Linked DNA regions of Neurospora crassa OR74A. The protein of the gene in region 1 interacts with the protein of each later gene in a biochemical or structural test. Links are inferred from orthologs where the notes say so. Each region holds a gene or a part of one and is shown on either strand. Other genes may lie near its edges. The genes, in order: hat-2 and NCU07757.

What was found.
Region 2: the proteins of hat-2 (region 1) and NCU07757 form a complex in vitro, tested with the Saccharomyces cerevisiae proteins (2 studies listed by BioGRID). The link is inferred for Neurospora crassa OR74A from reciprocal best matches to the Saccharomyces cerevisiae genes TAF1 and TAF6.

The regions. Positions count from the first base shown.
Region 1 is NC_026501.1:2,719,922-2,724,313, reverse strand, and holds the start of hat-2 (histone acetyl transferase-2), read right to left. Parts: upstream 2,894-4,392; 5' UTR 2,517-2,893; coding exon 1-2,516. Other genes in the region: NCU16368 (hypothetical protein), read left to right, coding at 4,296-4,392. UniProt on the Saccharomyces cerevisiae protein: Functions as a component of the DNA-binding general transcription factor complex TFIID. Binding of TFIID to a promoter (with or without TATA element) is the initial step in pre-initiation complex (PIC) formation.
Region 2 is NC_026505.1:401,640-405,749, forward strand, and holds NCU07757 (transcription initiation factor TFIID complex 60 kDa subunit), read left to right. Parts: upstream 1-1,645; 5' UTR 1,646-1,759; coding exon 1,760-2,144; intron 2,145-2,235; coding exon 2,236-3,248; 3' UTR 3,249-3,529; downstream 3,530-4,110. Other genes in the region: NCU07758 (hypothetical protein), read left to right, coding at 545-707, 918-929, 1,069-1,247; tca-11 (succinate dehydrogenase cytochrome b560 subunit), read right to left, coding at 4,106-4,110.

The DNA.
Region 1 (4,392 bases):
CCGCCTTTCATGGACGTCCTCAGGAAACTGATGCCCAGTCCCTTGCCCGTCGGGTCGCCGGCGCCATGAACTGCAAGCATAGCCTTGCCATGACTGGCGTCAAGAAATGCCTTGGTAGTCTTCCAAGGCGCCATCTTGTTGGCAAGAGCATCTGGAGAGAGCTCATCGTTCACATCAACCCCAATGTCATCGTCCTTGAGGGAATCGGTAGCATCATAACCACCCTTCTCGATCTCGTGCAAGCCCACTTGCATGGCGTCCAATAGGCAGACCTCTTCCGGCCTAACAAGAGATCGAATGGCCGGTTCGGCCATTAGCTCTTCGCCTTCGGGCAGCGCCCAATCTTTTGTTTCCTTTCTAAAGCGCAGGAACTCCTTCAACTTTTGACGATTCTGAGACTCGTTGGACTCAGCTACATGCTTAGTAATATCATGGAGGGTAACATGCTCGCTCTTGCGAAGTAGGCGATACGAGACCATCTTGAGACGATTCTTGGCAATGTTTGTAACACGTCTGGAATGGGGCCCTGGGACTTCCATGGAGGGCAGGGTTTGGCCGACAACGTAAAGATGATCGATATTTCTGATGTACCAAGTTGAGCCTTTTTGGCCGGTACTGCTACGACCAATCAGGAAGTCTGTATTCCTCGGGTTATGCTTGAAAATAGGGGCGCGGAACATGTGGTTGTGAAGAGTAGGCACGACCTCGCCAGGGTGGACGTGACCGAAGATGGCGAAGGGTGAGCGATCTTCTGGCATCAATATACAAGTCTCGCCAAGCTCACGCTTCTCAGGTCTGCTATCAGCGCCTTTAGCTCGACGGAAGTAATTAATGATTTTCTGTCCCATGCCAAAGTTGGAGAGAACGGTGGGAATTTCCTCGCAGTACTCGAAAAGGATAGCGGTCGAGTTGTCGTTGAGGGAGAGGTCATGAGTACTCTTAAATACCTCGCTGACGCGTTTACCCTTGAGAGTCTTGCGCTTGATAATGGCAGGCTTGTCGAACCTGATGAGATACTGCAGATCCTTCTTAGGGTGGAGCTGAGGCCGGTGATAACTATGAGGGTCACTGGCCGCGAGCTTGACGCGGTAGTAAGGCCAAGACAGTCTCTGCGCAGGCAAACTGTGCTCGACAGGGATAGTAGCCAACGTGGCCCGAACCCTATTCTGGCTGTTCTCCTTCAACGCGTCGTAAGCAGCGTCAGAGGAGAAATTGAACCGCTGTATAAGGTCCCGCCCAGCTTTCCCATTCGCCAAGCGGACCGTTTTATGTTGGGTCTTTCGCCGCTTAGATGACCGCTCAGATTCGACGTCGTCTATCAGCAAATAAGGGTCGTTCATGTCAAGGATGACACGCTTGCCCAATTTCGAAGTGACCTGCTCGAATTCGTCCAAATTTGGAGCCGTGAAGTGAGCAATAGGAGGAAGACCTTTAGGAATTTCGATCTTTCTCCGCTTTTGAGCAGGCTCATCGAGGAACATGGCATCCCAGTCCGCCTCTTCATCAGGCTCATCCTTAATGAGCATGTTGTCAGGTTTCGGCTGCGGTCCCGGCTCGATGGCAGCCGCAAGACTGTCGCCCAAGAAAATCATCTGTTCCCAGTCCTGACATATCGTAGCTATGTCCTGGAGGGTATATCCACCTATCCTCTCCGAATCCGTTTCGTCGTCCAAGCTGAATACTTCCAGATCGGTTTGTTCCAAAGGCTCTGGCTCTTCGAGACAGAACAGACCTCTCGCTTCCGCTTCCTTAATCCTCTGCCAAACGGAGCCAGTGGCAGGGCCCGGAATCCGGAACTGCTTTTCCTGATCGGCATCCAACTCCAGACTGAGTTTTGATGGTATCAAGGGCTTGGGAGCTTTGGGGGGCTTTTTTGAGATCCATGTGGCATTCTTGGGCTTCAATAGTTCGTTCCAATGCAGGATGGCGTTTTCCTCAAAACCGGGGAATAGTTGCTTGACGGCGTCGATGAAGTTTTCCGCTGGCGGAGGAATGTCGGGATCTTGATTTGTCGCATGCGGCTCTTCGTCATTGTCGAAGTTGAGGTTCCGGAGGTCTTCAAGGGACTCCCCGGCGGCAGCATCCGGACGTTTTTTGGCATCAACATCGTCATGGACGTCGAGCGGCGGGGGAGAGGATCTCAGGCCATCGTGAGCTGTGTCCATGGGCGATGAGGGGTCGCCACCAAAGAGGTCGTCGTCATCATTAGTGCCGGCGTCGTCGATGAGGCTTGGCAGCTCGCCACTGGTGCCGGAAGTGCTCGGTTCGTCGTTGGGTAGCTCGTCCTCGTCGCTCAAGTCGATGTCCTCAAAGTCGATGGCATCGTCTGCCTTGCCTCGTTGATCGATCTCGCCTCCCGACTGGAGGTTCCCCAGCATTTCAGTCAGACCATCGTTACCACCCGGGCCGAAGCTGTTGTTGATCTGGCGAATGGCTTCCTCATCGCGGGCCTCCTGCTCCTTCCATCCTTCCTCATTGAGGGCGTTGAAATCAAAGTCGTCGTTGTCTGCGGGCATCTTGCCGGGCGGAGAGGCGATGCCGCCTCAACGCTGTGTGTTGTCGTCTGTCGCGCAGTCGTCCGCCCGTCTCTCTCTTGCTCCCTCCAACGGTTGCGCGGCCGGTTAAGCTGTCAGATCATGATCCTGGAGCGGAGAAATCGTCGAGAATGCCCGCGGCGGGGGAGCAAAGTGAACCAAGCGCGCGTTCGGTGTTGGTGGGGTGTTGGCAACGCCGCATGCAATTTTGGGTCGTGGTTGTGGCAGAGTCGAAATGGCCGTCGGGTGAGTCGAGGGTGAGGTTGACGTTGAGGTTGCAACGGTACCTAGCGGAAGTTGCAAAAGTGTTGAACCTCCCACAAGCAAGGAAGCACACTGCCACTGCGCGGAGTGCAAGCGTGCTTGAATGCGAACAACGAATCGGCCTGTCGGGGCCACTGCACGGCTACTCTAGGTACCTCTAAGTGGGTCCGTTGACCGGGCCCGGGTCTGGCAGCCGTGTGACAGCCTACCTAGGTACCTACCTATTCTAGATACCTAGCGAGCAGCCCCAGGGCAGTGACTGGGGGACGCTAAGTGCAGTGAATGGCTCGCGCACACTGTCCCTGGTCTTGAAGCATAATACCTAGGTAGCGTTGAACCTGGAACTTGCTTTGGGAATCTGGTAAGGAACCTGGAATAGGTAGGTAGGTACAGGTAGAGGTAGAGGTAGGTAGCCCAGGTACCTAATACCTAAACTGTACAACCTGGAAACTCGGGGCGTTGATTTTCAACTTCCTAGGAAATCAGGCATAACCTGTAAGCATGCTGCCCGATTATGTGCATTTTATGTCCACAAAATTAATTGGAGGAGACTTCCATGTTGCCACCCCGAAGCACGGTAAATTCGATTCTTCAATGTCCTGCCTTAAAACACCTATCTTTTCAAGGGCGCTGGAGCGTGGAGACATTCAAAATCACCGTCTTGCATAGAATTTTTGGTGGGCATGAATGTTGCAGTATGCTTACAGCTTAGGCCTGATTTCCCAGAAAGTTGAAAACCAACGCCCCGAGTCTATACGGTATGCGACCTCACCTACAACTTACAAGTACCATCCAGGTAAAGTAAAGAATATGGAGGAAGAACTAAAGCTTCCCCGCCTTGTGTGACAACCAAATCAACGGCAGGTACAGAAGGAATAGGACCCCGTTGGAGGCGAAGAGACATGAATCGAGAGCGAAATCAAATACTGATTAATTGATCTCTTACAACAGTAGAGTGACGCGCAACTTAAGTCCCGTCTCCCTCTCTGTTCGGGCCAAATGGCCACAATGTCACCCGCAACGTGGGGGGCAGAACACACCTGAACTGATGCGAGATGTCATTTCCAGTCTCTCTGGATTCTCATTTCTCTGCAACCACACTCGCACGCCCATACCAGTGCTCAGCCCGTTTTTGGCATGACAGTTCGGATGTTATACCCTGCGAACTGGCAGGGCCATGAAGTTCAGCAACAGTACACTCACTACCAATGGTGTTTTTGACGTACAGTGGGAAACTGTGTTAAAGCCACGGCCGAAGCCATGGTTACGTACTAGGCTGTCGGTAAAGCCAAAGCTACATTTACCTACTAGAGGTACTATTCCTCTTTCTTGAGATGACTGGATTAGGTGGTTTAAAGAATGTAACAAATCAGCCGATATTGTGGGCCACAGTCATACTGCGTCTACCATAGCAGCTTCGTCATCGCCTTTTGCACCGTTTTCTTTACCTCGCACACCAAGTGAAGTTTCGAGGGCAAAAATACCACACTGCTCACCATGGCAAACCCCGTAATGGAAGAGTTGAAGCAAAAGCAAGATGCTCTAAGGGCGAGGTTCGTCGGCAAGCAGCTGTCCGAGGTCCCTACGCCCAGCG
Region 2 (4,110 bases), on another chromosome or scaffold:
GTGTCCGATTCAGCCTACTGTTCATCCGGACCATAAGATGGAGCTATGATGACTGGTATACGGCGCGTTACCAGGGACTAGGTAGGGGACAAGTCGGGCTGGTTCTTCTAGGGGCCGACAGCATGGTACATAACGGGCATGCACTTGACAGGCCACAAGCCTAGAATAGACTTTCGGTTTCACGCAGATCTGATCAAGTTGGGTCTGCAGTGGCCTCCTGTTGCAAATGGAGTGAAGCAGTCCAGTCTTTTCTCTGAAATGTTTTTTTTCTGTGTGCAACGGTATTGGGACAGAAAGCTGCACATAGTCCATGGAGCCTTTTCCGTCTCCAAAAGAGTTTTGTTGTTTTGGTGTAAGCCATCATATGGGAAAGGAGCTGATTGTAGTTGGGGATTTCCCAGCCAGACTAGGGTACCTACTAGGGATATCAGGGCAACGTTGAGCGTTTGATGGAGATATTGGGATAAAGGACATTTGATGGGATGGGATTTAGCCACTGGTGTTTGGTACAGCTAGCTCTGTGACAAGGGCAGGAGGATCTGCGATGTCGATTCATAATTCGGCAAATACTTCAAAGGGGAGAATCGAAACGGCGCGGAACTTTCTCACATCTTATGCGATGACCAACCCTCGCTGGTATGGTGATGAGCCATACTTCGAGCCGTTATATGCTACCCTCCGTTGTCAACACCCGCTACCCGAGTCAGGTACGAAAAGTTTGGGGGAAGACTGGACAAAGGCTCAAGAGCCCCACGAGGAGAGAAAATTGAAGAGAAAAAAAAAAGAAAAGTGAAGGAGCACTGCCAGACATAGATGAGCACCATAAGGATAGAATAATGTCAGCTAGCAACTAATGGGAAAATAACAAACGTACGTAGAGGCATGTTACTCATGAATCACTTGATGATTTGGCCCAGAAAAGGGCTTATGTAGGTATCAAAGCAAAATACAGCAGAAATCTTGAAGTCCGTATATGGGGGGAACTTGGGAATCGAATCTTGCATGAAGGAACAGCGAGGTCGAAGGTTGATGTTGTTTACAAATCATGATGGTGATTGGTAACTCCAGATGGGACGGACCAGATACATCGTCTGTTTGGCGGCGCCTTCGAGGCGAGGTTGTTGATTTCCGGAATCCTGTACAACAATCTGTACAGAAAGAATGCTCCAGATATCTCCACATCGCGGGTGCGGGCGACAACGTGGACGACAATGCTGAGTGAATGGAAGGTGAGGTTGAAGAGATGAAGTCGAAGGACGTCGTTGGATAGTGTGGAGTGTCTGCACTGTACAGTCCAATACTGGGTTGTCTGTTAGCTCGAGACCTCTTGTCAACTTGTCCAGACGGTACCACATGTGGTTATTAGTGCTCTTTGACTCCCAGGGCATGAGTTTGGATGAAAATGGCCACTCGAAGCTCCATAATCCATGTCGTCAACAATAAATTTGCATGTTGAAGGACAATTACGGCGTTCAGGACGAGTCTATATGATTCTACTCGGGGTGCCAAACTAACATAGTATCTAAATCAGCATTGGCGGTACTGCGCTAACCCTAACCCACTGCGGGGCCGCTCTCCGTGGTTCGTCAGCTGCCCTTGTGTGTCCATCCACTGTGATGTTTGACCTGTACATACATCATTCCATGAACGCGACAGCTTCCCTCCACGCGACTTGGATCGACGATTTGCAGACCACCATCCCACCCCAGACAGACTTTACCACCCACATTATCACACCGAACCGACGAATTCACGAACCATGGCAGGGGAGGGACCCAAACTCCTCTGGAACCCCGAGAACGTCAAGGATGTCGCCGAGTCGATAGGAATCAACCTGACCGAAGAGCCCCTCCGCGTCCTCACCCAAGATGTCGAATACCGAATTGGCCAGGTCGTCGTCGAGGCCCTACGCTTCATGCGCGCCGCCAATCGCACCACTCTGACAGTCCAAGATGTCTCGCAAGCTCTACGAGTTCTCGACGTCGAGCCCCTCTACGGATACGATTCCACGCGGCCACTTCGCTACGGAGAAGCCAGCATCGGTCCCGGCCAACCGCTGTTCTACATTGAAGACGAGGAGGTGGACTTTGAGAAGGTCATCAACGCTCCCTTACCAAAGGTGCCCCGCGATATGAGCTTTACTGGTAAGCTTGTTTCAGTTCTCTCTCTCACCCAGTGCTCACCTCACCTCAACCTAGTCGCATCAGCTAACACTTTTCTTCCTCTCGCGCGCAGCCCACTGGCTCGCAATCGACGGCGTCCAGCCCTCCATCCCCCAAAACCCCACCACAGCCGAGACCTCCTCCAAGGACCTCCTGCCCAAGGGTCCCGGCGCTAACCCCGCCGTCGCCGCCCTCGCCGGCAACGACAACGTCGCCTTCCGCCCCGCCGTCAAGCACGTCATCAGCAAAGAGCTCATCCTCTACTTTGACAAAGTCCAAGCGGCCATCATGGACGACGACCCGGACGAAGAAAAGACGCGCCTGCGCTCCGCGGCTCTGGACTCGGTCCGCTCCGACCCCGGTCTCCACCAACTGGTGCCCTACTTTGTGTCCTTCATCAACAACCAAGTGACGCACCGACTCGACGACCTCTTTGTGCTCCGGCAAATGATGGAACTCACCGGCGCCATCCTCGACAACCCCTCCATCTTTCTCGACCCGTACGCCTCCTCCCTCGCCGCGCCCGTCTTGACCTGCCTCATGGCCCGCAAACTCGGCGGCTCCGAATCCAGTCTCGAAGGAACCGACGCCCTGAAAGACCAGTACCGCCTCCGCGAAGTGGCTGCCAGTTTGCTCGGCACCATCGCACGGAAATATTCCAAGACCAACGCCCTGTTGCGCCCCAAACTCACGCGCACGTGCCTCAAGTTCTTTTTGGACCCAAGCAAGTCCCCTGCGGTCTTGTACGGCGCCATCAGCGGGCTCGCGGCCGCCGGCGGGCCCGAGGCCGTGCGCATCCTGGTTCTTCCTAACTTGAAGATGTTTGACGAGGGGATCTTGACTCCGCTCCGCGAAAAGGGCGAGGCGAGCCATTTCGAGTACGAGGCGCTGGTGGGAGGGATCATGAAGGCCATTGAGACGCTGGTGGAGGGGATCACCCTGCCTGTTGTTGCGGACGTGGCCGAGTTGGAGAGGGAGGGGCAGTTGGTGATTGAGTTTTTGGGAAGGACGATTGGTGAAAGGGTGGCGAGGTTGGGGAACCAGCATTTGAATCGGGGGATTTTGGAGGTGAGGCATTTGGAGTAGTGGTTGAATGCCGCCGCCGCGGCGATGAGAGCTCGATCATGATGGAAGAGAAGAGATTGAAAAGGAGGTGAGAGAAAGACTGAAGGAGGGAGGGAAAATGGTCGGCAGCACGCGAAAAGTTGAATTCCTACGGGACTTAGATTTTCCCGTACTTTGTATCCTTACCTGGGGGTTTTCTTTTAATCATACAGCGTGGCGTTTGGGTTTGGTTTTTCATATGAGAGTTTTAATGAATGGACTTGGTTAGTCGGATAGGTACAGAGGGTCGGTCAAAATTGATGAAAAGTTGGCTCACTGCATGGCTTGAAGATATACTTTGAGAACTAGACCTAAAAACAGTTCGTCCTTCTATGCTTGTCTTCCGGGCTACTGTTCCATGATGATTTATGTACTCGTTGTGATCATTGATCGTTCGTTCGTTTGTGCTTGGACACTCGACAACCACACAACACGATGGTTCCCTGAGCTGGATCATCGAAGATTTAGCTTCTATTTAGTTTTTTTTGGATACAAACTAATGGCAGGTTCCTGGGAACGTGTTTGCGTACCAGCAGCACAGATCTCACTAGACCATATATATATACCCACGGTTCAAGCGTGCTTTGCTTCACGCGAAGGACGAAAAAAAAAAGTGAATGTCTCCATTTCAACAAACCTCCCTCCCCTTCCTCTTCCTCCCCTCTAGGTAACAGGTTTACTCATACAGCACACGACCCAATCTTTTTCCGTGGAAATGACCGCAGGAGTTTTATGTCCAAGAGTAGTTTCCCCCGTTCCTTCCTTCCTCCCAATCCCTTCTCTTATCTACCAAGCTTCACCACACCTAAACCACCCTTCTTCCTAAGAAAAATGATGATCTACA